Linked DNA regions of Struthio camelus. The protein of the gene in region 4 interacts with the protein of the main gene of each other region in a biochemical or structural test. Links are inferred from orthologs where the notes say so. Each region holds a gene or a part of one and is shown on either strand. Other genes may lie near its edges.

What was found.
Region 1: of the proteins of GSK3B (region 4) and NIN, one has a biochemical effect on the other in vitro, tested with the Homo sapiens proteins (2 studies listed by BioGRID and IntAct). The link is inferred for Struthio camelus from reciprocal best matches to the Homo sapiens genes GSK3B and NIN.
Region 2: the proteins of GSK3B (region 4) and SREBF1 form a complex in vitro, tested with the Homo sapiens proteins (2 studies listed by BioGRID, with this or other methods). The link is inferred for Struthio camelus from reciprocal best matches to the Homo sapiens genes GSK3B and SREBF1.
Region 3: of the proteins of GSK3B (region 4) and EIF2B5, one has a biochemical effect on the other in vitro, tested with the Homo sapiens proteins (2 studies listed by BioGRID and IntAct). The link is inferred for Struthio camelus from reciprocal best matches to the Homo sapiens genes GSK3B and EIF2B5.

What each region holds. Positions count from the first base shown.
Region 1 is NC_090946.1:80,848,094-80,855,120, forward strand, and holds the start of NIN (ninein), read left to right. Parts: upstream 1-4,027; 5' UTR 4,028-4,121; intron 4,122-4,372; exon of another isoform or gene 4,373-4,496; intron 4,497-5,553; exon of another isoform or gene 5,554-5,660; intron 5,661-7,027. Other genes in the region: protein ABHD12B, read right to left, coding at 88-190, 1,034-1,161, 3,279-3,391. UniProt on the Homo sapiens protein: Centrosomal protein required in the positioning and anchorage of the microtubule minus-end in epithelial cells. May also act as a centrosome maturation factor.
Region 2 is NC_090956.1:3,831,832-3,838,653, reverse strand, and holds the start of SREBF1 (sterol regulatory element-binding protein 1), read right to left. Parts: upstream 3,021-6,822; 5' UTR 2,748-3,020; coding exon 2,360-2,747; intron 1-2,359.
Region 3 is NC_090950.1:22,485,063-22,492,937, forward strand, and holds the start of EIF2B5 (translation initiation factor eIF2B subunit epsilon), read left to right. Parts: upstream 1-4,869; 5' UTR 4,870-5,026; coding exon 5,027-5,179; intron 5,180-6,387; coding exon 6,388-6,512; intron 6,513-7,263; coding exon 7,264-7,449; intron 7,450-7,545; coding exon 7,546-7,723; intron 7,724-7,875. UniProt on the Homo sapiens protein: Acts as a component of the translation initiation factor 2B (eIF2B) complex, which catalyzes the exchange of GDP for GTP on eukaryotic initiation factor 2 (eIF2) gamma subunit.
Region 4 is NC_090942.1:93,118,346-93,125,222, forward strand, and holds the start of GSK3B (glycogen synthase kinase-3 beta), read left to right. Parts: upstream 1-3,859; 5' UTR 3,860-5,199; coding exon 5,200-5,287; intron 5,288-6,877. UniProt on the Homo sapiens protein: Constitutively active protein kinase that acts as a negative regulator in the hormonal control of glucose homeostasis, Wnt signaling and regulation of transcription factors and microtubules, by phosphorylating and inactivating glycogen synthase (GYS1 or GYS2), EIF2B, CTNNB1/beta-catenin, APC, AXIN1, DPYSL2/CRMP2, JUN, NFATC1/NFATC, MAPT/TAU and MACF1.

The DNA.
Region 1 (7,027 bases), on a different chromosome or scaffold from region 4:
CGGAGGCATAACTGGGAATTGGAGGGTTTTAGCCCTGCTCTTGGCACGCTCAGCCGCCAACCCCGCCGCTGAGGCTCTGCTACTCACCAGACGCCGACGGTGACGCCGGGCTCGGTGGTGAGATACAAGCTCACCGTGTTGTTCAGCAGCAGCTCCGGCTGCCGGAGGTCCACGAAGTAGGGGAAGGCCACTGCGGGAGAAGGCACAGGCGCTGCCGCCGACCCCGGGCGCCCCTCGCACCCCCCCCCCCCAGCCGGCTAATTCCCAAAGCAACGCGTGTCGCGCGCCAGCCTCCGAAGCGGGTGGCGTTTTTTTGGAAACACCTCCGGCCCCCGCAGAAGACGACGGCTGTTTTGTTCCCGGCTTCGGGAAGCGGTTCGGCCGAGCTCAGCCGCCCGCCAGCTCCCACCGCCGGCCGCTCGGGCCCGTTGGACGCTCTGCCTGCCCAGACGTGTTGCAACTCTGGGCAGCGAACGTCCTCGGCAAAACACCGCCTTGTTACAGCTTGCAAAACCGCGATGCACGAGCAGCAGAGACCCTTCCTTGCGTCGTCGACGGGCTGCGAGGAGCTGCCGTATTTTGCATTTCCTGCGTGTTCCCCTTGCTCCCGGCTCTGCCCGGGCGCCCGCCCGCGCCGGGCTGCGCTACCCCGGTGCCGCCGGGTGAAGCAGGGAGCTCGGGGCGGACCGAGCCGCGGGCACAGACGTCGCATGCAGCCCAACCCGGGCTTCGGGGGCAAAAATCAGCAGTGCAGGTCCGCGAGCTGCAGGCTCCCCGAGCCGGGCGTCTTCCTCGCCGGCTGCTCTCGCCGCCCTGCCCAAGCCCGGGGCACCCGGCCCGACCGGCCGGGCGACAGGGCTGAAGCAACGCTGCCGGCTCCCACGGCGCCCGCTGCCGCGGCCGGGTCACCTCCCGGCTCCGCGCGCCATCGGAGCCAAAGGGGTCCCAAAGGCTCGTCGTCGTCGTCCGTCCCCCCCCCACCACCACGCCAGACCGCGGGGCACCGGCTGTCCCGCGGCCCTGGGACACTCACGGAAGTTCAGGAAGACGAACTTGGTGAGGAGCACGGGGAAGAGGCGGATGAGGAAGGGCACAGACACGTAGATGAGGACAAGGTCCACGAGGAGGGTGCGGAGCCGGGGTCGCCAGGCCAGCCAGCCCCTGCAAGGCAGAAAACCCCGTGAGCGCAGCCCCTCCGTCCTTCGGGGGGGGGGGGGGGCGGACACACCGCAGTCGGGGTCCCCCCCTTCCCAGCCCCTGCCAGGAGTTTTGCAATAAAGAGTGAGCAACCCTGTAGGGCAGCACCCAGAGCCGGTGCCGGCGAGCAACGCTCCCAAATATTTCCCGCCCGCGCCAAGAGCCTGCGCGACTCCCCAGGGACGAGGAGAAAAATCCAGCAAAAGGGGCTCGGGTTCGCCGCAGAGAGTCAGCAAGCACTTAGGTAAAAAGTGGCGGCGGCGGCCCCGAAGGGTCGGACGCGTCACGGGCTGCCGCGGCCGCAGCTCCGCAGGCGACAGGGAGGCTCGCGTCCGACCCTTCGGGGACGCCGCCGTGCCCGGAGCCGCCCAGAGGCGGTGAGGGGCTCCGGAGGGGGCCGGTGCCGCTGCGTGCCCAAGGCACGGGGCCAGCGCTGCCCGCGGAGTCACGCGCTTAATTATTAGGTGCCACTCTTCATCTACACTTAATATGCAAACACGGGGGCGAGGGATCACACCCTGCTTTGCACAACGCCTGCTGCAACCGCGCCGAGGGGCACGGGGCAGGGCCGGGGTGCAGCAGAGCGGGGAGCCGGGGTGACGGCACCCGGGGGGGCAGCAGAGCGGGCAGCCGGGGAGATGCCTCCCGGGGGAGACCATGGGGACACCATCCTCGGCAGCTGGCACAGGCCTGTGGCCACGGCAGGGCACCGGCTGACACAGGAACGTGTCATTGGGGGTCATGGCCACGGCAGGGGGCATGCACAGCAGGGACCTGGCCATGGACAGGGGGACACGGGGACATGGCATGGGGGTCATGGCCACGGCAGGGGGCATGGACAGCAGGGACCTGGCCATGGCAGGGGGACATGGGGACATGGCATGGGGGTCATGGCCATGGCAGGGGGCATGCACAGCAGGGACATGGCCATGGACAGGGGGACACGGGGACATGGCATGGGGGTCATGGCCACGGCAGGGGGCATGGACAGCAGGGACCTGGCCATGGCAGGGGGACATGGGGACATGGCATGGGGGTCATGGCCATGGCAGGGGACATGGACAGCAGGGACCTGGCCATGGCAGGGGGACATGGGGACATGGCATGGGGGTCATGGCCATGGCAGGGGGCATGGACAGCAGGGACCTGGCCATGGCAGGGGGACACGGGGACATGGCATGGGGGTCATGGCCACGGCAGGGGGCATGGACAGCAGGGACCTGGCCATGGCAGGGGGACATGGGGACATGGCATGGGGGTCATGGCCATGGCAGGGGACATGGACAGCAGGGACCTGGCCATGGCAGGGGGACATGGGGACATGGCATGGGGGTCATGGCCATGGCAGGGGGCATGGACAGCAGGGACATGGCCATGGCAGGGGGCATGAGGACATGGCATGGGGGTCATGGCCATGGCAGGGGGGCCCAGTCACAGCAGGAACGTGGGGACATGGCAGGGGGGTCATGGTCACAGCAGGGACATGGGGACATGGCATGTGGGTCACGGCTACAGTAGAGGGCACGGTCACAGCAGGGACATGGGGACATGGTGGGGGGGTCATGGCCACAGTAGAGGACACGGTCACAGCAGGGACATGGGGACATGGCGGGGGGGTCACGGCCACAGTAGAGGGCACGGTCACAGCAGGGACATGGGGACATGGCGGGGGGGTCACGGTCACGGTAGGGGACACGGTCACAGCAGGGACATGGGGACATGGCATGGGGGTCATGGCCACGGTAGGGGACACGGTCACAGCAGGGACACGGGGACATGGCGGCGGGGTCACGGCCATGGTAGGGGGCACGGACAGCATGGACTTGGCCATGGCAGAGGGGTCACAGCCATGGCATGGGGGACGCAGCCATGGCATGGGGGACGCGGCCATGGGGTGACAGCCACGGCAAGGTGACAAGGCCACGGCAAAGGGGACATGGGGACATGGCCCCAGCTAGGCCATATGGCCCCGGCAAGAGGGACACGGCCCGGGGCAGGCGGTGGCACCGCACCGGCGGGGGGGGACGGGCCACCGGGCCGCGGGCTCGCACGTGGGGCCCGGCGCCGCGGCAGGTACTCACCGCTCCTGCGGGGCCGGGGCCGCCTTGGCCTTGGCCTTGGCCGCCGCCTGCCCGCCGGGGCCGCCGCCGCCCGCCGGGGCCGCCGCGTCCCCCCGCTCGCCGCGCCGCTTCATCGCGCCCGCACCGCGCCGCGCTGCCGCCGCTCCGCCGCCGCGCCGCCGGCCCCGCCCCCTCCCGCCAGGCCCCGCCCCCTCCCGCCGCGCTGCCGCCGCTCCGCCGCCGCGCCACCGGCCCCGCCCCCTCCTGCCAGGCCCCGCCCCCTCCCGCCGCGCTGCCGCCGCTCCGCCGCCGCGCCGCCGGCCCCGCCCCCTCCCGCCAGGCCCCGCCCCCTCCCGCCGCGCTGCCGCCGCTCCGCCGCCGCGCCACCGGCCCCGCCCCCTCCTGCCAGGCCCCGCCCCCTCCCGCCGCGCTGCCGCCGCTCCGCCGCCGCGCCGCCGGCCCCGCCCCCTCCCGCCAGGCCCCGCCCCCTCCCGCCGCGCTGCCGCCGCTCCGCCGCCGCGCCGCCGGCCCCGCCCCCTCCTGCCAGGCCCCGCCCCCTCCCGCCGCGCTGCCGCCGCTCCGCCGCCGCGCCGCCGGCCCCGCCCCCTCCCGCCAGGCCACGCCCCCGCCCTCAAACCACGCCCCCTACGCCTCGCCCCCGGGGCCGCGAAGACTCACCCCCCCCTCCCAGCGCGGGAGGCCACGCCCACTCCCCCTCCCGCCCCGCCCCTTTCGGCCTGCAGGGGCGGGGCTAGGTGGTGCCGCCGGGTCCTCGGGTGCCCCCGGCCGCACGGCGGACGAGAGAGGCCGGTAGCGCCGCCGCCGCCCTCGGATCCAGGCCGGGCTGGACTCGGCCTTTGCCCGGTGAAACTTCCCGCGGGGACTCCCCCCCCCCCCCAACCCCCGCGCCGCTTCCTTCCTTCCCCGTGGCCGGTCGGTGCTGAGGCCGCCGCAGCTCAGCGCACCGATGCGGCCGGAGCGGCGGGACCTGCGGGGTCAGGGGAGAGCCGGCCGGGGGCCGAGGGTGCCCCCACGGGTGGCAAAGCGACATAAAGGCGCCTGGGCCGCGGCGGAGGCCGGACGTGGGGTGGCAGCAGCGAGCCGCTCTCCCCATTGTTTTGTGCAGAAAAACCACAAAGGGGGAAAGTTTTTAGCTTGTTCCAGCCTCGGCTTCTTTGCGCCCTTCCGCAGGCGCAGACGGAAGAGAAGGAAACCGGAGGAGCCGGGCCGAAAACCCAGGCAGGGATTTGTCGTCGTCGTCGCCCGCCGCCGCCCCGGAGCCGGATTTGGGGCGGAGGCGCAAGGCGCAGCCCGGCCATCGCCTTCTCGGGGCTGTTTGTGCGGGAGGAGGAGGAGGAGGAGGAGGAGGAAGGGGGGGGCCGCCGAACAAAGCGCCGGATGGCTGCCGCTGCGCGGGGGCCTGAACCGGGCACGGGAAAGCGGGGCCGGGGGGGGGTCCGGGGGGGGTCCGGGGGCCGCCGCGTGTCGGAGCAGCAGCAAAGCCGCGGAGAAAAATGGCAAACGCGCAAAAACGGAAGCGCAAATTGCCGCGGCCGGCGCGACATCTGGCCAGGCCGGGGCCGGGGAGCAGGGGGCTGCGCTGGCCCAGCGAGGGGCTTCGGGGGGGGCGGGGGCTGCGGGCGGGGGGCCGGGACGGCAAGGAACTGGGGGTGATGGCAGCCGGGGGTGCAGGACGGTGGGGACCTCAGCAGTGCCACCCTGGGCTGTAGGACAGCAGGGAGCTGGGGTGATGCCACCTTGGAGGGCAGGAGAGCAGGGACCACGGTGATGGCACCCGGGGGGGGCAGGAGAGCAGGGACCACGGTGATGGCACCCGGGGGGGGCAGGAGAGCAGAGACCACGGTGATGGCACCCGGGGGGGCAGGACAGCAGGGAATATAGTGATGGCACCCAGGAGTGCAGGAGAGCAGAGACCACGGTGATGGCACCCGGGGGTGCAGGAGAGCAGAGACCACGGTGATGGCACCCGGGGTGCAGGAGAGCAGAGAATATGGTGATAGCACCCAGGAGTGCAGGAGAGCAGAGACCACGGTGATGGCACCCGGGGGTGCAGGAGAGCAGGGACCACGGTGATGGCACCCGGGGGGGGAGGCAGGATCGCGGGGAGCCGGGGGACGCCGGGCGGCGGCGGGGGGGGGGGGGGGGACCGCGGCGGTGCCCCCGGAGCGGGGGCGGGGGCGGCGCGGCGGCTCCGCCCGGCGGCGGCGGCGCACAAAGGCCGGCGGCCGCCCCCGCCCGCCCCCGCCGCCGCCGCCCCCGCCCCGGGGCCGCCCAATAAACGCGGCCGCATTTGAACCGGGCGCCTCCCCGCGAGCCGCGCCCGGCCGCGGCGCCCGCTCCGCTCCTCTCCGCACCGCTGCGCACCGGCAGGCCCGGAGCCCGGTGAGCCCCGGCCGGCGGCAGCGCCCAGCCCCGCGCGGGGGGGGGGAGCGCCCCGGGGTGCGGGGTACCGGGCCCCGGGGTGGGGGGAGAAGGAGCCGCGGCCCCGGGAGCGCAGCCCGCCCCTTCCCGGCAGCCGCGTGTGCCGAGGGGGCAGCGGGGTGCGTTGCTGGGGGAGGGGGGTGTTTTGGGGAGACGTGGGTGCTTTAGGGTGTTGGGGGGGGGAATGCTTTAGGGACGGGGCGCCCCCGTGGGTGCGCTGCGGAGGGGCTTCGCGGGCGGCGCTCCCGGGGGAGCGGGGCGCGGGGGGGGCCCTGGTGGCTGCGGCCCGGCCGGTCCCTTCCTCCCGGGGCTCCGGGGGGGGGGGGGGGAAGGAAAAAATAATAAAAAAAAGAGACTTTTGCCAAGCCGTCGGGGCCCTTCCCGTCCTGGGAGAGGGGCTTCACAACACCCCGGCCCCCAAAACGGCGGCGGGCGGAGCCGCGGATGGGGGGCCGTAGGGCGGCGGCGGGGGGGGGGTGAGGTTATGGGTGCGCTCGGCGCCCCCGGCCCCCCCCCCGCCCCCGTCGGGGGGCTCAGCCCGGCCCTGCCGCCGGCACCGACATCATGGCGCGTTTCCAGCCGCCCGGGACGGTGCTGGATAAACCGGCTTTTTGCTTTGTTCGCTTCCCAAATAATCCGCTTTTGGGGGCGGGGGGGGGGGGATCTACCTTGGGTTTTCTCCCACCGGCTTCTCGCCGGCCGCCGAGCAACATCCCTTGCAGCACCCCGACAGATGGGCGCATTGTTTTTCCTTGCTGCCGGGAAGGCTCCTTCTTGAAAGGACCCATTACAATGCAAATACCGAGGTGTCGTGAATATTCAAAACGCTGCCCTTCTCCTTTTTTTTTTTTGCTTTTTTTTTGGGGGGGGGGGGCCGCCCAGTTGCATAAATTTAGCGTGTGCTTGCCCTGCGGCCCCACGCGTGGCTCCTGCCCCCCTCTATCAACGGGGGTTGCAGATCGCTTCCAAAAAAACCAAAACCGAACCACTAAAAGCGTGTTGTGCTAATTGCATTATTTCTGCTTGGTCATGCTACTTACTGACCAGGTAATCCGCACCTTCGTTAGTGCTACGCTGAAGCTCCAAGGCTGCTATTGATTGAAGGCGCTAATTACCACTTAAGCCTATACTAGCCGAGTTAAATTTCGCTTAGTGTTCAGTGACGGCCGGGCCGCTGCACCTTGCGGGCTGTGAAGGTGATCGGGCCCTGCGCAGAGGGCAGGCGCAAAGGCGGCACAGAGCCGCTGCGGAAAACTTGCTTCCCTCGGCGTCCGTGGGCCTGGGCGCTCGGCTCGCCCCGGGGAGCACAGAGCGCTCGGACTGCCGCA
Region 2 (6,822 bases), on a different chromosome or scaffold from region 4:
CAGGCAGGACGGCGGTGACGTGAAGCACCCCAAACCCGCAGCCCCGCCGCGAGGACCCGGTCCCGCAGCGCCTGGCCGGGGACGTGCGCTCCAGCCCGGCCACGTCCGCCCGCGCCGGCGGGGAGGCGAACGGCCCGGAGCGGGGGGACACGGCATCAACCTCCCCTGCCCGCTTTGCTCCCCGGCGCCGCGGTCCCCCCCAAACCCCAGAGGCTCTCCCTGGGGCAAAACACCTATCCCCAAAAGCCCAGGCAGCCGCTGTGTCCCAGTCCTCGCCGTCCCGCCACCAGCGGGGAAACTGAGGCACGGAGCTGGCAACGGGCGGGCGGCGGGGGTCGGACCGCGGCTGCTCGGAGGTTGTTGTACCCGGGCGGCAGGGCCGATCTCAGCCTGGTTTCGGGGACGAGGCGGGGGGGGGGCTGGGCTGCCCCAGCTCGTTCGTTCATTCTGTACCGCACCCCCCCGCCAGCCCCCAAACCGCCCCTAGAGCCGGGCAGGGGGCCGGGGCAGAGCGGCGGCACCTTCGGGACGCGCCGGACCCCCCGCGCCCGGCTGGTTCGCCCCCCACCCCGGGGTTAAACGTCGCTGGGCTCGGTGTCGCCCCACCGAGGGGTCCCGCGGCGCCGGGCGAGGGAGGGCAGGGGGGGGACCTTCGAGAGCGCGCCCCGGCCCCCCCCCACCCCCCAGCGGGTGCAGCAGCCCGCGGGGCTCCCGGCGAGGCACGCGGTGGCCGCCGGCCGCGGGGCCCTCCCCGGGGCGGCCGCGCCAGGGCTGGAGCGGGGCCGGCCGTGGGGTGATGCGCCTCCGCCAATCGCCGCCCGCCGCCCCAGACGGCCCCGCGGCAGCGCCAAGGTGCACCCGCCGGGTTACTCGCGGGCATCCTGCCGTAACCCCGGCCCGCGGTAACTCTAGGTCAGGCTCCGTTAACCCCTTCGTTAGCTAACGAGCGGGCTCACCGCCCACCTCCCCTTTTGCATCCGCCACCGGGTGCTTCCGCGGGAGCCCGTCCGGCCGAGCGGTGCCAGAGAGCAGGGAGGAGCGGGAACCGGCCGCGGGGCGTCTCGGCGCGCCGACCTACGTGCCGCTCGGCACTGCTGCCGGCCCCACGCCGGGGCAGCCGGCAGAGCCCCCCGCGCGCCCCCGGCCGGCCCCGCCGACGCTGGAGCGGGATGTGACGGAGCTGGCGCATCCCCGCATCCCCCCCCAGATCTACCTGCCGAGTGTGGCCGGAGCCCGGCTGGTGGTCCCGCGGGGGGGGGTCTGAGCCCACCGCCCTCACCAGCGTCCCCCCAGCGCACCCTTCACGGCCCTGCCGCGCAGAGGACCCGGCCGGTGGCACCCCGGAGGGCACCCAGCCCACCCCCCCCGGCTCAGCTGGCCCCCGAGCATCCCCAGGGCCGCGTGCCGGAGCAGCACGTCCCGGTGCCGCGGGGGGGCACGGGAGGAAACTACGCTGGCTGCTGAGGACGTGAGCAAAGCGGGTGGCCGTGGCGGTGGGCCACCTCGCGCCCTGCCGCTGGCAGGACCCCATCCTGCCGTCCCGGCCCTCCTCTTCCTCCTGCCCTCCGCAGCTCTCCAGGGCGCGAGGCATCCGCCAGGATATTTATATGCCGCCGCGCCGGCTCCCTCCCAGCGCAGCTGCTCCGGGCACTCAGGCAGCATCGTCCCCGGGTGCTGCCCGGCTCCGGGACAGCGACGAGCGTGGACACCACGTGCGTCCCGCGGGTGCTCCTGCCCGTCCCCGCGCGGACGGGCTGCAGCTCCCAGATTCGGGGCTCCCCGCGTGGGGACGGGCAGGAGCGCCCGCGTGCCGCGACACCACGCTCGCCGCGGTCCCCGCCACGCTGCCCTGAGCCTCGCTGCTTCGGCCCCCGGGAAGCTGCAAAATCCCTTCGGCTGGAGGGGTCCCCAGGCCCCACGCGGGGCCGGCCGCGGCTTCGCAGACCCCGGGGCCGCTCGGCACCCTCCTCCGGGCCGTTTGCCCGGCGGCAGCCCCACAAACGGGGCGTAAGGAAAGGGTGACGTCTCCCCTCGCTGCTCCCGGGCTGCGCTGCAAAAGCACGAGGCAGAGCCTGGGGGGCTGCCTGCTGCACGGGGCCGGGCTGCGAAGCTCGCGGTCTCCATACCCGCCCCGTACAGGTATTCTCCAGAAAGTCCTCCGCACAAACAGCACACCCCTTCCGCCTGCAAAATCGCCCCTCTCCAGGGGGGCGAACAAGCCTCCGCGGCGGGACACCCTCGCCCCGATGGGCCGATCGCGCCCGCTCTCTACCCGACCCCTCCTGGACCTTCCGGCCAGGAAAGGGGGGCGGTTGTGACCCCTCCTGGCTGCGCAGCGTGACCCGGCGCGCCGGCTCACCCCTGCTTTGGGTCCAGCGAGGGCAGAGAGGGCTCCAGCCCGCCTCCGGCTGCACGACCCGCCTGCAAGCGGCGGGCAAAGCGCTTCCGTCCCCGAGCCCAACCTGGGAGCCAGGGCCACGCGCGGACACCGAGAGACGGCACCTGCTACTTCCCTTCGGAAGACGCTGCGCCGGCCGACGATCCGCAAAGCTGAAGTTCGCCCCTTGTCGCCCACCGGAGTTTGTGTTTCTTCTGAGCTTCCCGCCCTGCGAGGTCACCGCAGCCCCGGCCCCGAGAGCAGGCAGGGCTCCCGGCGGGCGCTGCTCCTGCAAGCTGCTGGGCATCGCCGCCGCAGCTGCCCGGGAAGGGGGCCGCGCGCTGCCCGGCCTCGCCGGCCGCCCGGGCATCCTCCGCCCGCGGCCCTGGCGGGCTCCGGCCCCCGAAACTCATCTCTTGCTTAAGTCGCGCTAACCCTGAGCTTGGCCTAAAGGCACCGGCGAGGCAGCCGGGGCCTCGGCGGCTGGAAGCGGGTGGCTCTGCTGGCGGCGGCTCTGGGTGCCATCGCCACCCGCCTGTCCCCCGCCATCGCCGGGCTGCGCGGGGAGCCCGCGTGGGGCAGGGGACGCGAGGGGTGCTCGGCGGCGGGGCTGCGGCCCCCCCAGCCCTCCTTGGCCCCCTCCCCTCGCCGTCGGGGGTCTCGGCCTCCAGGGGGATCGGCCGCACAGCCCCGGCCCGGACACCTCCCCCTGCCCATGCCCCCCCCCCCCAAGCCCGGGCAGGCGGCCCGGGGAGCCCAGGCGTCCTGGAGGGAACGACCGGGAGTAACCCCGCGGCTGACGTCAGGCGGGGCGGGGCTAGAGGCGACACAGTGCTGCGGCTGGGGGGGCCCCGCCGGGGCTGCCCCGGCACCGGGGGCGGGGGGGGGACCCTAGCCCCGGGGGGGGGGGGGGCTCTGTGCTGGCCCCCCCCTCCCCTGCAAGCACCCGCCGTGGATCCCCCTCCCCGGCCTTGCTCCGAGCCCCCCCGGGCCTTGCACCAAGCCCCCCCCCCCCGCCCCGGCCGCGCACGGAGCCCCGGCGGCCGTGCACCGAGCCCGCTGCCCCCCGGCCCTGGCCATGTACCGAGCCCCCCGGTCACACACCGAGCCCGGTCCACCCGGCTTTGCACCGACTCCGGGTCCCCCAAGCTCAGCCCCCACCCCAGCCGCGGCCAGGCACCGAGCCGCCTCCCAATTATGCACCGAGCGGGGGCCCCGTCCCCGCTCCCCGACCATGCACCGAGCGGGGCCCCTCCAGCCCCGGCCACGCACCGAGCCCGGCTGCACCGGGACCCGCCGATGCACCTTGCCCGGTGCCCCCCGGTCGGCGGCCCGAGCCCGCTCCCCGGCCATGCGCCCAGCGCTGACCACGCACCGCGCCGGCCCCCGCTGCCCCCCCGGCCCCGCTCCCGGTGCCGCCGGCGCCGCGGGGCTGGACGCACCGTCGATGTCGCTGAGCAGCGCCGTGTCGATGTCGCTGGTTCCAGCGAGGCCGAGGGCCGGCGCCAGCCCGTCCAGGGCCGGCGCCAGCCCGTCCAGGGCCGCGTCGTCGAAGGCGAGGGCGCTCATCCCGGCGGCGCTCACGGGCCCCGGCGGCGGCGGCGGCTCGGGCCGGGGCTGCGGCTGCCTCCGGCTGCGGCTCTAGGAGCGGCGGGACCGCCCGGGCCGCCCGCCCGCCGCCCCCTGCGCCATGGCCGGTTCTGGTACGGCGGAGAGAGAGGAAAACCAAACCAAACCAAACCAAAAAAAAAAAAAAAAAGAGAGGAGGGGGAATTAACCGCGAAGTTGCGCCCGCGGACCGTGCCCAAACCTGATACCGGGCAGGGGAGGCGAGGCGGAGGCGAGAGGCGGGCCCACCGCCTCGGCCCGCCCCGCGGAGGACACCCCGCCCCGGCCCCGGCCCCGGCCCCGGCCCCGAGCCCGGCAGGGAGCGAGGCGCCTCCATCCCCCGGGCTGCGCATCATCCCCCGGGGCAGGCGGCACCCCCCGGGGCAGGCACCAAATACTCGGGCTGGGCGCTAAATACCGCCTAGGCCCGGTTTGGGCGGAGAGGCGGAGGTGGAAGCAGGCTGGAGGGCCAGCCTTAGGGGGGAAGAGGGGCGAAGGAGCCTGCAGAAGCCCCCCAGCACCTTTCAGCGGCCCCGTGCCAGGGTGAGGTTGGCCCAGCACGTCCTGTCTCAGGGCTCCTGCAATTCCCCGGGGCAGCGGACGGGCTGAGAACATCTGCTTTCCCTGGGAAGACAGATGTGCGGTCTGTCCCCCTTCCCTGTGCAGGGGGATTGTCCCCGTGCCCCAGCTCTGGAGCATGTCCTGCACCGGCACCTGACCACAGCCTTCCCCTGCAGCCTCGCTGGGGAGCCCGAGACCCCCCTGGCCTCCCTTAGGGACCAGCAGCAGGCACCAAAGGGCCATTGCTGCCCTCCGAGCCCCAGCCGAGCCCACGCAGCCTCCTGGCGCTCGGCAGCCTCGGTGCCTCCAGCCCCTGGGCCACCAAGGAGGCGAATTGTCACTGGGAACTGGGAAAACCGCTGGTGGCTTCAGGGTCAGCCCGGCTGCTGCCCACGAGGCGCAGGAACTGGGGCTCAGCCGGGGGGGCTCACGTTGGGCTGAGCCGGGGCTGCCAGACCCTGCAGAGCTGGGTGTCTTGTGTTCCCATCAGGAGCAATTTGGGAAAAGAAAATGCACTGCAACATCCCCCTCCCCCCAAAAAAAGTTCACCCACTCCTCTTCTGCACCACCAAACGCAACCTAAAGCTACCTGTGCATTAATTAATATTGGGTGCACCAAAAAAAACCTCTCCCCTCAGGCTTCGAACCTTTTAGGGGGAGGCTGCAGGTCTTCAATGGGGGCGGCATCCCCGGGACAGGCCTTGGAGCAGCTCGTAGGAGGCCGCGGACAGAGCGCCCGGCGCGCGCACGGGGCTCTGGACAGAGCTGTGGGCGCATATCCCGCAAAAGCATCGAGGCCAGCGACGGTACAGCCGGCCTGGGGCTGTGCAGGGGGCTGTGTGCTCTCACCCGCCGTCTTCTAAGCTCCCTGGGGAACAGTCGGGCTGCACGACAGCAGGAGGTTTCCCTTCTCTTGCGGGAAGGCACTTACTGTGGGCAGCGCACCGCAGAGGGATGAGGCCGGCTTCCAGCCGGGTTTTGGAGCGCCGCGGTGGGGCAATGGATGGTGTCGCGTCCCCGCGAGGAGCGTAAAGCAGCCTTGCGTGAATACGGGGGTCACACGCCTTTAATAACCCACACGCAAGACCTGCAGCACAGCCTGCCCCCGTGAGACATGGGAGGGGAAAACACACACACGCACATAAACACGGCTTTCTTTTCGCGCCAGGCAGGGAGCAAGGGGCGGCCGGAGCGGGAGCGTGCAAGGTGCCTTCCCCATCCCCATCCCTCCCCCCGAGCCGGGGCGGGGGGCACGCGCGCCCCGGGGCCCTGCGCACGGTGCTCTGCTGCGGTCCAGGGGACCAAAGCAAACAAATAACATCCTGCGCACCATGGGGAAGGACGGTTAAGCAACACGGCCGGCCACCCGTGGGCAGGGATGGATTGGGTGGCCAATGGATGCCACGCGGGGTGGGGCGCCCCGGGGGAAGCGGGGTGGCGGGCAGGGAAAACCCCGCCTGTAGAACCAGCGCGCCGCAGCCAATAAGCGCCGCGGCCCGCAGTGGAGTGATCCTGCATCACGGCTCAGGGCCCACGATTACATCATGCCGCTCCTCCGGGGATCGGCCAGCGGGGCCACGTGGTCGCTTCGGAGTCGCTGAGACATTTTTCCTGAGCATAGGGTGGGAGGAAACCGCAGGGAAGAGACAGAAAACAAACCGGCCCGGAGACGGCCGGCGCTGGACGCGGAGCCAGCCGGGCAGGCTCGCGCTGCTTGCAGCGGGCTCGGGCGCCGGCGTAGGGCTGGCCACGGGCTGGGAGCGTCGCAGGCGGCAGCGCGAGGCTCTGCGGACGTGCCTGCTGCCGCCCTGAGACAGCTGCAAGGAGCATCCCCGTCCTACCAGCTCCCTCTCGCTCCGATCGTGCCGGCTCTCGCAGATGCTCTGTCCAGCTGGCTGTGAGCCCCGGCACACTCGCTACCTGCCAGCACATCTTCACCCCGTGCTGAGAACAGCCGTGCTGTTTGGGCTAATGCTCCCCAGTCCTGGCCTTCAGCATCCCTCGTGCTTTGGAGTTTTGTTTTGCTACAGCAGAGTGCAGTGTTAATCATTAATGTGTTGCAGAGAGATCCAAGCCCTCTTCTCTCCTTCGCTACTTGTAACTCTGCGCCACCAACTATCCCTTCCTGAGCTACGGCTTCAGTAAATACACAGCCGGGAACTGCAGCACTCGGGCATCCTGGGCTGTCCCGGCTCAAGGCTCAGCCCTGGGGTAGGAGGGAAAAGACAACTGCATGTGTGGTCACCTCCTATCTGCACCGGGATTCAAACTGGGGG
Region 3 (7,875 bases), on a different chromosome or scaffold from region 4:
GCCAGAGCCCAGGGAGTGGGAAGGAGAAAGTGAGACGGGAGGGTTGGGATGCAGGGCAGCATCAGCCTGGTTTTACACTCAGTCTCTCGTTTACCAGTGATCAGCAGTGTTATTTTACCTGCAGGACTCAGTTCCGGTCGTAAATCTTGTGTCCAGTACAGAGCTGTTCAGGGGTGCAGGGCTGGACAACTCAATTGCATGCTGGCTCGTGCCTACCCACCTACCCCTTCTCCGTGGGCAGGAGCTCCTCCAAGGGCATTTGGGGCAGGCAGACACCTCTCTACACCTAGCAAGTGAGCATCAACCATCACGAGTGAGCTCAGGACAGCCCCTGGGGCCTGGACACCCTGCATCGGGGGCAAGGTTTGCCCCACGTCACCTCTTCCACTGCATGGGGAGAGCCCTGGCCAAACCAGGCTCCCTGGCAGCTTGGCACTGGCCAGGCAGAGCAGAGTGGAGGCATTCACTGTATCCCTGACCTGGAATCAAGATGACACAAAGCCCAGGCTCTGCTGAGGCACCTGAGGATGCTCCAAGGACATCAGGAGCTGCTGGCCACCAGGCAGAACAGGACACCAAGTGAGTCCACGTAGACCTCCTGTGATCCTCCACATTGCGAGGCTCCCTGCCCTGGGGACCTCCTGACACAGGTCCTGCTCAGCCCTGACAAATATGGAGCCCCAGATATGCCCTAATTATGCCCCGGAAAGCAGAGTATTCCCACAGCACTCACCCTGCCCAGAGCTGGTGGATGCTGCTCCATAATGCCCTACCCAGAGGTGTGCAAGGATGAGGAGGTAGGAAAAGGCCCTTCAGTCAGCGTGATCTCCCTCCCTCCTCCCCATTGTGGGATACTGGGCTGGATGGACCTTCAGTCTAACCCAGCACATCCTCATTTCAATTTTCATGAGGTAATTTCAATTTTAAAAGCTCCCTCTGGAATTACATGGGTTTCAGAATATGTTTGGCCTGGGTGCTATTGGCCTGCAAGTCCCCACTGAAACCAAAGAGAAATGTTTCTGTAAAGCATGAAGAATATTTATCAAGCTGATTTTGAGTTCAGTTCATTAGCAATTACCTTTATTTGTCTTCCCCTGCTCCTGCCAACTTACCAGGGCAACGTCTTGGAAACTCGCCTCATTTGGAGAGAACAGGATGTAATTAGCCAGATAATCTGCTGATTCTCTTGTTGAGCTCTGCGTGCCCAATCTCGACACGGGCAGTGGCTGCGCAGGCTGGATCAGACCTGCTTTCTGGTACTGTTTATGCACTTAGTGCTACATAGGCAGGAAGGAACGTGCTGTCCTGCCCTTAGGCAATGACAAATCCACCTCTCAGATGACTCCTCAAATTGTAACCCCTGGGCTAAAACCACCTGGGAGCTCTTGTTCCGGGGTTAGCTCCTTTGCTGAGGCAAAAGGATTCCCAAGGGGATGTGGATACCTAATTTTGAACAGGATAGGAATGATTTATTTCTCCAGGGCAGCTCATCTCTATTTTCTCAGCTGTGTCTGTCCTGGCTGTTTTATCCCAACCCACTAGCTAAGGTCAAGCAATTTACCCACAAGGTGCAGCACAGCAAGAGTTCAACCACAAGTTACTGGGGGCAGATGGCAGCACAAAAGAGATCCTTAACACTTTAATCGGTAAGGGAAATTCAGGGAATACCCAATGCTGCAGGGTCCTTCAGGAGACAGAGGAGGATTGTTTTCTAATAAGTCAGTCAAGAACTTGCAATGCAGCTGGTGGAAAGGATGCGGCACTAGCCTATTGTACACAGGAAATACACTCTTACCCACTCACAACCCGGCAAAGACCCTTCAGCACTGCCACAGGGGCTACATGCACTGCTCTCAGCGCTAGGACAGCACTGTAGGTCCAACGATTGAACTGGTACTCTCTTCATTCCCTCTGTCATCAGGGTGGATAGATCATGTTGGGTACCGTGGGCTGGTAAGTGCATGCCATGTTCTACCCTGGGGAACAGCCATATCTCCGTGGGAGGGGATGCAAGTGCCCTGTGTTTCTTTCTCAGATGATAGCTGCACCGTGGGTCAGCTCTCCCATGCCCTCGCTGCTCAGGAAGGGGGAGGTGCAGAGGACTCCACCAGCAGAGGAGAGTAGCAACAGCCAGAGCAGGGCGTTACAGAGGGGGGCAACTTACAGACACCAAGAGCAAGAACGAGCCAAGAAAGGCTGGAAGGGAGACGGAGAGCTGGGGCTGCGAACGCCTGTTGCACGTTCAGAGGGCAGAAGCATAATAGCAGGGCAGTTCAGCGAGCACCAGGTCCCAGGGCTGGTAAGGGCCTTCGAGAGCAAACCTCAAGGTGCCCACTCTCCTCCCGCCAGGCTGAGGGGATCTCAGCAGCCCCCCTGCCCCAAACCCTCTAGGCACTTCCTCAGGGAGTCTCTCAGCCCATTTTCCAGGTTTTGAAAGCAGAGGTTATAATAGTTCTACCCTGCTGAAAAATGAGCAGGCAGCAGAGCTGTGTGAGCTGTGCTTGAGTAAGAGGGACTGTAGTTCCGTAACCGGGCAGTGGAGAGAGGCCAGAGAAGAGGATTCAGCCGAGGGGGCACTTTCTGCGCCCAGGACTGTAAGCGACCAATTCCCTCCTGAGCACCACATCAATACAGAAGCACTCAGGAGGGGCAACCAGATCTGCATGAGGACAGAGACCCGCCTTGGCCAAGGGGGACTGGGGGAATCAGGACCGATGAAGCTGAGAGCACCTGAGCTGATGATGTTGCAGATGGGCAGGGGGCCAGACACCTCCTCTGTAGCACCCAAGTGGGGAGTGCTTCACCAAGCGGGGTGGGAGGCCAGTGCCACCCCCCAACCCCAGAAACCACCTCTGCTTTTCTCTCCTCCCCTCTTGACAGTGTCTCTGGATAGACTTTGGGAGGTCGCTCCAGGACTGTGGGTTTCGGGTCTGTTCATGATGAAAGGCGGCAGTGCTGAAGTGTTGGTTCACAGCAAGACTGGCGTTTCCATTAACAGCTATTAGACATCTGGAAACGCAGCACAAATACACCACAGCTAGGAAACCTATCAAGAAGATACAACCTTTTCGAAATCCAGAACTCCCCGGGCTTGCATCAAAGTAATACACATGCACTGAGGTCATCTGGGAAATGTCCACGTATGGGAAATTCAGGCTTTCCCCTCTCCTCCCACTAACTTCGGGTCATGCCCTGTTGTGGTGGGGATGCTCCATTCTTTACCACACTCTCCTTCCTCCAGATAATGCAGATGAAAACGTATCTTCTCTGCTCCTGCATCTCAGAGAGGCATATTGAATAGCAGCACTATCAGCAGCCTATGCAAGTTATTTATTCTCAAAGTTTTGCCTGCAATGGATCTTCTGTAGAGTCAAATAGGTGATGCAGAATAGGCTGAAGTGTCTGGGAGGCAAAGAGCGATCAAATGCAAGATCTTGTTCCTAAATTGCTCTTGAACCGTCCTGCCTACATACACTCATCACAAGCTCTGCCTTTTGCTAAGCCGATTCAGGCACGTGGAGCTGGACCCCTGGCTGGCCCTTGCAAGGACAGGCGAAAACTGTCCTGCTCCTCACCTGGCTGGGCTGGACTGAACTGAACAGTCAGGGCTGCAAGGGGAACCCAGGAAATCTGAAGGGCTTTGGCAATTCTCCTCACCCCAGACAGGGCAGGCAGCTCCAGGATCCCACGCCATAAGCTGCCCTCCTGCTGCTCCCTGCTTAAACTACAAGCAGTCTGGGCAGCATAACACTACACTGTGTCTGTTGAACCGTCTGGTTAAACAGAAAGCACTACTACATTGAACCTGCTACTGCTGCCCCATATCTATTCACACAAGTACTTCCTACCCCTCCCTAAAACAATGAACACCGCCCAACAAAGCCACTTGCTGTCCCACTGCCTCTGGTTTTCATGGTCTTGTGCACCTATCTTCACATACGACACTTAAATTCCATTATTTTCTGGTCTCTGCCAGGCGCCATTACCAGCTGCACATCTGAAGTGCGGCGGGAGCTTTCCAGGAGCAGCCTGCTTGCATACACGGGTGAGCTCCAAGATGAGACAGATACGCTTCGCATCTGACACACCATCCCACACAGTGAGAATTACAACAACTTGGATTTCCAGAAGCCTTGCTGGATAGACAAGCAAGTGCTTTGTCTAAAAACTTGCAAAATCCAAGGAGTAAAGCTATGCCTACCTGCAGCAATGCCTCAAACATATGCCAGCCACTCATCAAGGGAAGAACTTGTTTCACCCAGTCTGACCTACTTAACACAGCTTCGTCCAGTGATTCATGCATCAAGACTAGTGAGACTAGCGTTGACCTACAGGAGTGGTTTCCAGCAACGACCCCGAGCTCTTCTCAGGAGATTTATGAAAGACGACTGCAAAAACCAACCTCACGCTCATGCAGCAACCTCTGCCAGCAAACCACCCTCCCCAGGCGCCCCCAGTTTGGGCAGCCTCGAGCCTCCCCAGGGTGAGGGAGGTACAGACAGGCCCGGCGTGGCCTCTGCCAAGTCGAGAGGCCCCTTCCTGTAGCGGAGAAGGCGCTGTGGGCTGCGGCACCCCCTCCCAAAGAGACCCACTCTCGGTGGGCAACACGTCCACCCCCCACCCCGTATGACCGCGGGGTAGCAGGTCTACCCATGACCCCATGTAACCGAGGGGGAAACTACCCACAAGACCAGGTTAGCCCTGGGGCTCTCGCCTGGGCCCGCGACAACACGGCCCGGGCAGCCTACAGCCACCCCGCGCCGGCTCCGAGGGGGCCGGGACACCCCGCCCGCCGCTCCCGCCCCGGCGGCGGAACCCGCAGCCCCCGGACCGCCCCGCCCCGCCCAGCCGCCGGCCCAGGGCGCACTGCGCATGCGCCGCCGCCCCGCCTGCTCGGGCGCGCGCGAGCCCCCCGGCTGGCCGCGCCGCTTCCTTCGTCGCCAACTGTTCTGTCCCCGTCGAGCTCCCGTCGGTCTTTCCGGCGAGAGCCCGGAAGCGGAAGCGGGAGCTGAGGCAGCGTGAGGAGATGGCGGCCCGCGGCGCTGCGAGGCGCGGAGCCGGCGCGGGTGCGGCCCGCGGCCCCGACCCGCAGGAGGAGCCGCCGCCGCCGCTCCAGGCCGTGCTGGTCGCCGACAGCTTCAACCGCCGCTTCTTCCCCATCTCCAAGGACCGGCCGCGGGTGAGAGGCCTTCCGCCGGCTGCCCGGGGCCAGGAAGGGGCTCCCGGCTCCCCTCGGGCTGCCCCGGCCGCGCCGGCTCCTCCCGGGGTCCCTAGCGCAAGGCGGAGCGGCGGCCGCCGCGGACGTCGCTCCCGGGGGCGCGGTGTGCCCTGCCGTGAGCGCCTGGGCCGGGGCTGGGAGGCGGCGAGGCCGCCGGGCGCTGCCGGCAGGTCGCGGGGTGCTGCTGCGCCCCCGCGTCCGCCGCGGCCCTTCCACCGGGCGTGAGCGGGAGGGAGCCTCTGACCGGCCCTCCTCCTTCGGCGGGGTTTATGTGCCCGGTCGGAGAGGCGGTGAGCACCTAAGTGCTGTGTTGGTGCTGTTTGCTTTCCCATATGGTGCAGCCAACTGCGCTGTTTGCTTTTCACCCACTGCTGATGAAGGAGTGGTAGCAGATTTGGGCAGGTTTCCTTCTGGTAGAGGAAAGAAGCAAAGCGTCTGTGTCGGCAGTAGCGTAAAAGAATATGGCCAGCCAAAAGGATGGCAAAAGCATTTTAATTATATAGATGAGAAGGCTGCGTGTTAGAGTGCTTCTGTAGAATTTAGGTCTGAGCAATTATCTTACCTCGCTTGCTGAGTAAATGCTTGCAGTGTTCATAATTATACACGTGGGCTCGGACCTGAAACAAAACACCATCAGAAATGGATCAAAGGATAGTATGAAACTGTCAGTTGTAAATTAGTAAGTTAGTTTAAAAGTGTGACATGAATCTCAAGTCGAGAGGATAGTCACTTCACTTTAGGTAGGGTCTTTTCTTTTCCTTTTTTATTCTGGAGACTCTCAATTCTTGTGGCTTCATCATTCATGTCTGACAGGTTTTTCTTGTAGTAGTTAAAGCCAGAGTCAGGGAATCAGTACTTTGGAATTTTTTGAGTTTTTTTTTTTTTTTTCCTCGTCTCTGTCGTTTATTTGAGTCTTCTTGAAGAATTTTAGGTGCGATAACCTCATTTCTCTTGCACCTTCCTCTGTAAACTAAGGGTGATTCTAACTTCCCCTATGGAACATCAGGAGGTAGCTCTTACTGTCTATATCAACTTGGAGAATTTTCATTGAAAGGAGGTATAGCAGTCATTCACCTTTTTATTCTGACGGTACTGAAGCTAGAAGACGCTGCTGCTGATATGGAGCTATAGTGTGTTTGTTCAGCTGTCTCTCCATCTGTTTTTTTTAGGCTCTCCTACCTATGGCAAACGTGGCCATGATCGACTATACCTTGGAGTTCCTAACGGCAACCGGAGTCGAAGAAACTTTTGTTTTCTGCTGTTGGAAGTCAGCTGAGATAAAAGAGCACTTACAGTAAGGATTTCTTCTGCTTTCTTTTTAGCCTTATCATGGAAAGGAATCTGCCATTATCCAGTAAGCCTCCCAGGTCTTAGATTGCACTGATCCTTCTACTGATGAAAACTGTGCTGCTAGGGATTCCCTTTCAGTAGATGTCTCCCAGCACATCTCAAAAAAGAATATTCCTCATGTGAAGAAGTGGGGTCGTGCAGTATTTTAAAAGGGTTGTTTGGGGGACTACCTTTTTTTACTGGCGTTATTGGCTCTTTGCCTAAAAGCAGCGCTTTCCTGCTTAGCACTGTAATTTATAATACTGCACTTTACTAGCCTTCTGCCGTGTCTCAGTGATCGGTGCAGCATATTGAAACAGTTCTCATTGAAAGTACCTTTTACCTCTGCATGCTGCAGGTTTGCCTGCTCAGGAGAAGCGTGCAGTCTTTTCTCTTCCCTGCTTGAGGTACTGCTTTCAGAGAAAAAATTCCTGAATTGGGTGTAATCTCTCCTTCTCCTCTGTCAAAACTGCTCACAGATAGTCTAGTTTCCTAAGTTTCCCTAAGCCATAGTTTCAAGGTGTTATCATCTTCAGTTCTTTCTGCTCTGTGCAAATGATCAGATCTCTGCCCACTGATAATGTACTCCTTGTAATAGGATTCTTCCTGCATGCACTTATGGATGTGGTATGCACTGGGGTGCTGTGTTCTAGTGTAAAGTATCCACGGTACAAGTATCCCTTTTAAGCCTTCCTGATGTGGTTTTCTGCCTTCAGAAAGTCCAAGTGGTGCCGCCACACATCTCCCAACATGGTGCGCTTTGTAACTTCTGATCTGTACCGCTCCCTTGGTGACGTGCTACGAGACGTTGATGCCAAGTCTCTTGTCCGTTCTGATTTCATCCTTGTCACTGGGGACGTGGTGTCCAACTTCAATATATCCAGAGCCCTGGAAGAGCACAAGTAGGTGTTGAAGGAAGCGCGTGCCTGGCTGGTGTGCCGAGACTCTGGGCTGTAACTGTCTGGAGAGTGACTTAAAATTCTGCCCTTCCTGTTCAGGTTGCGTCGTAAGATGGAAAAGAATGTTTCTGTGATGACGATGATTTTCAAAGAGTCCTCACCTGGTCACCATGCCAGGTGCAACGAGGATGACATCATTGTTGCTATGGACAGTGCCACAAACCGTGTCCTTCACTATCAGAGAACCCAGGGGCTGAAACGCTTCCGCTTTCCTATGGTGCGTCTGGCAGGTGGAAAAGGGCTGTGAAGCAGCACCTCGAGGGAGTCCTCTTAGAGTGAGGACTGGGGAGTGTGCTTATTCCCTCTTTTGGAGCAGCAGGTGATGGGGAGTGACCCTTGGTAAACTTGATTCTGTCTAAGAGAGTTTAA
Region 4 (6,877 bases):
CTGTATGCTGTGGCTGTACTTGTTCTACCGCGCTGTCAAATTGGGAAATGGAAGTTGTCCACAGCTCCTGTCACATTAAACTGTTCAGACCACTTGGCTCCATTGATCTTAGCAAATATACCTGGAGTCCTACAAGGCCTAAGTGCACCCACGCACATTCAGATCAGCAAAACATCAGCTGTTCTCTGAAGCAATTGTCAATGATGACATTTTGTGACAGGAAATCATTGCAAAATGCTGGGTTCTCAAGATTAAAAACTTCTGTCCTGCTCAGAAGAATAAACACAACTAGTACTTTCTAAACATAGATTCATTTGGATTTTGCTCTGGGACAAAAATCAAAACCACTTTTCAGGATTTATTGTCTAATCATTAATGCCTGGGCAGTCGGTAAATTTGTTACTATTACAATCTCTGATTTTCCACTGGAAAAAAAAAAAAAAAAGAAAAAAGAAAAGTTAAAGTTCAACCATAACCATTGGGTTTATCCATGCCAATTAAACCAGAAAAAAGCCATTACAGTATCTTGCTAAATTGTTTCTTGGATAACTCCCTCAGCAATACTAGGGAAATAGATGCAAAACCAGTATATCCATTAATATTCTTTTAATTCACTAGTGTTTCAAAGTTCAAGACAACCTTAAATGATTGCATCCTTATCAGCCTAACTGAGGTATAAAACACTACCCTCTTGCCCTCTCACCGTGGCATATGTTGGAATGACCCAGTAATAGCTGCATGGTAAGCAAACAAAGAGGCAACAGAAAGTCTTTCTGCTGAGTACCCACAGAGGAAGCAAAGGAGAAAGAAAAAGCAGGAGTTCCCTGTACAGCAACATATCTGCTTACTACCAATGCATGTTGGAGCAGAACTATTCCGTGTATGTTTAACATGACTGGATTTGATGTTTATGCCAGCAGACTCTGTCACACTTCTCACTCTGGCCCCGGCTCAGGCTGGAGTCTTGCATGTGCCCGCACGATATATGAAATGTAACCAACGAACCAATCGACCAAAAAATGTCCCCCTGCTATCAAGCTTTTTAAAGATTTGTTCTGTCCAAAAATAATACCAGTTTTCTAATTCACTGCCACCTTATGGCATTTTAGAGAGATAACACTTCAGTAATTTCTATCAGACGCTCAGTATTTTCAGGTACCCTCCCTGAGAACTTGGATGCTACCAAAAAAATGCTTTAATTTTGCATTTTAGCAACTATAAAGCTGTCTTTCCCATCCAGATCGGAACAATATTAATGTCTGGGACACTGGATTATTCTTGCTTGTGAAAACTGATCATTAAAACGTCAATTCTATTTATATTTACAGATTGTAAAGGGAGGTCATTTCATCAGCCAAGGGGTCAAACATAAATATGAAATTTGCAATGTTGTCAAAAGAGAACCTTTCAATCCAAAAGAGCAACTAGCTCACTCATGATTTGCCCAAATGATTTTAACTGTTAGTACAGTTTTGAAATCGAGAATGAAGGCTTAACAGATGCCCTTATCATGTGTTTATGGTTTTTCTGATAGCAGTCTTAACTAAGGAAATAGTCTATGAAAAAAAACTAACAGAAATTGGAAAGGGATGATATTTATCTGGTCTTCAAATACGTAACAATTCTCCTTTAAATATATGTGTGTGGTTTCAAGGTAGATGAGCAGAAAACTCTCTGACTGAAGTGGACAGGTTTTGGAGAGTTCATTGGTTAATAATTACTTGGAAATGTGGGCAGGACTGGCTAAGGGGAAGCAGGGCAGCTGAGATTTTTTTAGTGTACATTCCCCAAGTGGATGGATAGGGCTGGGATTTGGAAAAGCGAGATTAGTAGTAACTGAGAGTTTTGGTTTTGATATGGATTGTTTTGGTACTGAAGGGGAAACTGGTAGGGACGAGATAAACCATGTTGAGGAGTACAACCATGAAGGGTTGTTTTTTTTTTTTTTCCCGAGTTAACCTTGTTCTCCATAAGTAAATGAAGGTGATGTTTCATTTATGAATGTAGACTTGTCAGAGAGTTTTAAAAGACATGCGGCAAAGGGCTAATGTATGTGATTTTTATTTAATAGTCTTATGGGTAATGATGAATGCTAATGTAAAGAGATCATCGTCCCACTCCCCCTACCCCTGCCGCCGTTTTTCAGACTGTCTGCTTTGTCAAACAACAAAGCTTAGGGTCTCTCTTAGGTCAGTTCCACTATTTGTGTGGTCTTTTGAAAGAACTTCATCAGAATATAAGAAAACGTGATTTGTGTTGGTGTTGGTGCTCAAGGCTAAAAAGCGATTTCAAGCTCTGCTTTAAAACATGCCTGGAACATCTGATGGTTCATTTCCGGTAGAAGAAAGCTGGACACTGCCCAGTTGCATATTGACTTTGTCTTTTGAGTTAAGATCACTCTATATTAGAGAACTAACCCAATCTGTAGCCCAAATTGCTGTCCCCTGCTTTCTTCGCCTTCCATCCCCAGTAGTCTTGGTAGGGGGTGAAGAACTGTACCAGAATAGGAGAGAACGTGTCATTTTTTTGTGGTTGGTGACTTATGGAGACTGTGGCTGAGCAACGCTCAATATAGTGGTGTATCCGAGGGGTCTAGAGTGGTGAGTGAGGCCGGGTGGTTTGGGGGTGACTTCAGACTGTCTCTTTCAGTCCTTGGTAAGGCACGCCACCCTCGAATTTTAATTTCCCAGCTGCACAGAGCTGTGCAGGTAGCTCATGAAGAATCAAACCCTAAAAAGTCCTAGGTCCTTCGCGATAGTTAAAAATCACGTATCATTTATCAGAAGGTGAAAAGGTTTCTGGCAAACCAAGCACCCTGGGGTGAGCGGAGTGCTGAACAGGACCGTTTTGAGAGGGTGAGCTTGTTTTTTGCCTTGGAACAAAGCTCTTGCAAAGGATAAACGTCAGCTGCCTCTGGCCTGATCTTTGCTTGCTCATGTAGCAATGCCGTTTAGAGAAGGACTGAAAAAAGTAAAAGACTCTGGCAGCACTCTTATGCCTTGAAAGAAGCAGCTCTTAAATTTAAGAGTCTTAACACTGGCAAGAAAATGCTTCTGCCAGTCCAAGTTATTTTCTTGGTGGTATAAACTATTCTGGCAAGTACTTTTTTTTTTTTCCTAGTGGTAGAAGGAAGAGGTTCTCAGTTTTGGCTGAGGTCTGCTGAGTAATTTTCCTGGGGTCACAGCAGCAGGCAGCAGTGCTCCAGCTCCGGCTTTGCCAGGGCCGGGAGCTGTTGCCCCACAGACGCGTTAAGACCCCTGAAGAGCGTGAGCCCTTCCCGAAGAGCGTCGCGATAAACGCCTGGGACTCCGGGCAAGGCCAAGCCAAACCCGCTCATGGTGGCACCAAGGCCGATAAAATGCGGATAAAATGACTGCAGGACGCTCAGACGAGCTAAGGCGATTAGGTGCTGGCACAGGCCGCACCAGGCCGCGACGCCCCCTCCCTGCGCATGCGCGACGGCGGCACTGCGCACGCGCGCTCCCCTCCCCCCAGCCCCGCCCTGCGCCTCCAGTGAGGTCATAAAGGTGAGCGAGGCGGGGCGCGCGGCTGGGAGGTGGCGCCGCCGAGCCCCAGTGGGAGCGGAGGCTGCCAGCAGCGCCGGGCTGCGGATTGGCGCCGCGCAAGCAGCTGGATGGCGTCTTCGGGCCGCCTCATCCCCGCCGGCCAATCAGAGGCCTCCGCCGGGGAAGCCAATCGGAGCCCGGACGCGTTCTCCGCCTCAGGCTGCGGCTTGAAACCGTCCCAGGGCGACAGCGCGTCCCCTCATTGGCTCTCCCGCTTCGGCTCTCTTCGGGTGGGCCCGGTAATGGCCGGAAGAGAGGGCCTCTTCCTATTGGCTCGCCGATCGCGCTGCTAGGGCGGCGGCAGCAATTGCCGATTGGGTCTGCGCTCTCCTTCGGCGAGACTCGGCTGCGCCCGTAACGACTCCGCGATTGGTTACGAGGCGTTAGAGGCATTTCTGTAGCGGCCTCAGGATTGGCCCCGAGGAGGCTCGGACGTTTCCGTAAGGGCCTCGGGCTGGGGGCTGGCGAGTGCGTCGGGCTCTTCGGCTGGGTATTCACAGAAGGTGCTTAGGGCCGTTCCGCAGCGTAGGGCGGCAACGCGCATAGGCGGCTGCGCGGCTTTGGCGCACACACAGCGCGCAGCAGCAGGAGCCCGGCACGCAGCGGAGGCAGCAGCGGGGACAAAGGGACTGATCGGCAGGAACGGGGAAGGGGGCCCGGCAGGAGGCAGCCGGCGCCGGGAGGGAGCGGCAGGAGCCTTTAGCCGGGCGGGCGAGTCCCATGTGCCTTGGACGCCCGGGGAAGCAGCAGCAGCAGCCGCCGTCGCCGCCAGCGCTCTGAAGCCGGCTGACGAGGAGCTGGGGAGCCGCCGCCGCCGTCATGGCCTGCACCGCCGCCTCCGGCCGCCACCCGCACTGCAGCCTCCCCAGCCTGAGCCGCCGCCAGCTGCCCCTGCGGGCGCAATGAGGAGCCGCGCCGGAGCCGCCGCCTCAGCGCCGCACTGAGAAGCGTTAGCGAGCGAGCGAGGCCGCCCGGGCCGCTTCACCCCCTACTCCGCCCGCCGCGGATCCCACCGCCCCTGCCGGATCCCCTTGCAAGCGGGGCGCATCACCTCCTGTCGGCGGATCCGGGAGCCCCGAGATCCTTCCGCCGGGGAAAAATAGTCCCGTTCCCTGCTGCCTCCCGAAGAGGCGAGGGGGAAGGAAAGGAGAGGGGAGGGGGAAGAGGAGGAGGAGGAGGGGAGGAAAAAAAAAAAGAAAAAGAAAGAAAAGCCCGGCGGACGGGATCAGAGGAGCCCGGCCATAAGCCTCCGCCCCATGTGACTGGCGCTCAGGGTGGGGGCAGCGAGGCCTAGCAAACCCCCATCGCTTCCCAGCCGGGAGAAGGAGCGGCGGCGGCGGCGGGGGCGCTGCGGACTGGGTGGAGGCCGCGCTCGGAGCCGCTGGTGCTGCCGGCGAGGATGTCCTTATAGGAGGCGGCGTGAGGCGGAGGAGCCGCGAGAAGCGCGACGAGACCCAGAGGGCAGGGGGCTTCCCCGGCCGGGTTTTGGGGGGGGGGTCGGGGGGGGGAGAGGGGGGGCCGGGAGCTGAATGCAGCGGGCCTGAGCCGCCTCCTGCGGCCGGGCGAGAGCGAAGCGGGCGGCGGCGGCAGCGGGGCAGGAAGGTGACCAGGGGCAGAGGAAGCGACGGAGACCATGTCCGGGCGGCCCAGAACCACCTCCTTTGCGGAGAGCTGCAAGCCGGTGCAGCAGCCCTCGGCCTTCGGCAGCATGAAAGTTAGCCGTGAGTATTGATTCGCCGCCCGCACCCTCTGCGGGGCGCCCGCCGCGGTGTTTCGTCCTGGGGGTGGCGGGGGGGGTTGTTAATTTTTATAATTCAATTTATATATATATATATTTATATATATACGTATTTATTTTATATATGTATATCTTTCGGTAAATACGGTAACGCAGTGGCTCGGAGCCTGGGCAGTGGCAGAGTCCTGGGCTGCCTCTAGCCCTGGATGAGGCGGCTCCCTTTCTCTCCCCTTCCCTCCCCCTCATTAACCTTGAATAGGCACACATCATGGTTTCGTTTGGGGCCTGCTTAACCAAAAAAAAAAAATATATATATATATATATATGTATATATCGCTTGTTTTATCCGTTTCTACAGCCTCTTGTCTCTGCTAATATTGTGAGCCGCCCGTTTGGCTAATTGAAAAGAATATTTCTTTGGAAAATGGATTGGAAGCTCTAGAGGCTTTTTTTTTTCCTCCTTCTGTGAAAGGAGGAAATGAATTACGGACCCGTAGGTATGGTCGTGACATTCATGTTCAGTATACGTTTGTATAACTGTTGGTTCTCCTGGAGAAAGCTTAGTAGATTTTTTTCCAGGCAGCTGTAGATCGGGTGTGAGCACCTTTTGTAAGCCTTTCTTTCTCTCTCTCTCTCTCTCTTTTTTTTTTTTTTGTGGGCTGCACTAAAATGTCTCTCTGTAATACGAATCAGGCTCTGCTAAAATGCTCAATAGAGGGGATGAGGAAATCGTTAATATGACATGTGAGTCTATGGAGTAGTTATTTCAAGCTCAGTATGCCTTTTCCAGTTTTCTGATCAGAGGAATTTTTCTTAAGAACGAGGCCTATGCTCTATTCTGCACAGGCGTGTTGTAGATGGAATAAGTATTTAATATGTGCCCATCCTTCATATTCTAGCCAGTGGGATTGGGTATTTCGTGCGAATTGGAAATGTGTATTAAATATTAACAAATGTATGGTGTGAATGGAGAAAGGCCCTATTCTGAGTCATGAAAGACTAGCTACGTGTCCGCAATACAGAATTTGTTGGCTCCTGATTTGAATATGTTCATATTAACAACTGAATTGTTCCTGCAGGTTCGTGTTACTAGCATAGTTCTCAAAAGTATATATTTTTTTCTTGTGGAAATAGAGGGTGGCATCATTATGGGACGCGGAATGCTTGGTATGCATTACTGTTCAATCGATTTATTTGATGCTTGTGTATAGCCACACCTGACAGCACTGTGTGTGTGTATCATATTGTTTTGGGCATCTCATGCCAAAGCTGTATGTGATTGTGAGCTTTTGACATACCAGAAATGTTGGCATTTTTCTGCACCGAAATGTCTTCTACTGCGGTTGAAGCCTTGAAGAGAGCATTGGGCTTGGGGTCTTGTAGTCTACCTTGTATCTGCATGATCAGAGTGCCTGCAGTACTTAGAAAAACATGGAGTGCAGTTAATCCATATTAGCAGCATAAGAGTGTATGTTTGATCAGATCCAGCATTAGTGTGTATTAAGACTCTTTAATTTTTGTGGGGAAAATCTGTATATGACTCCATTTTAATTTATTGATTCACTTTATGTGA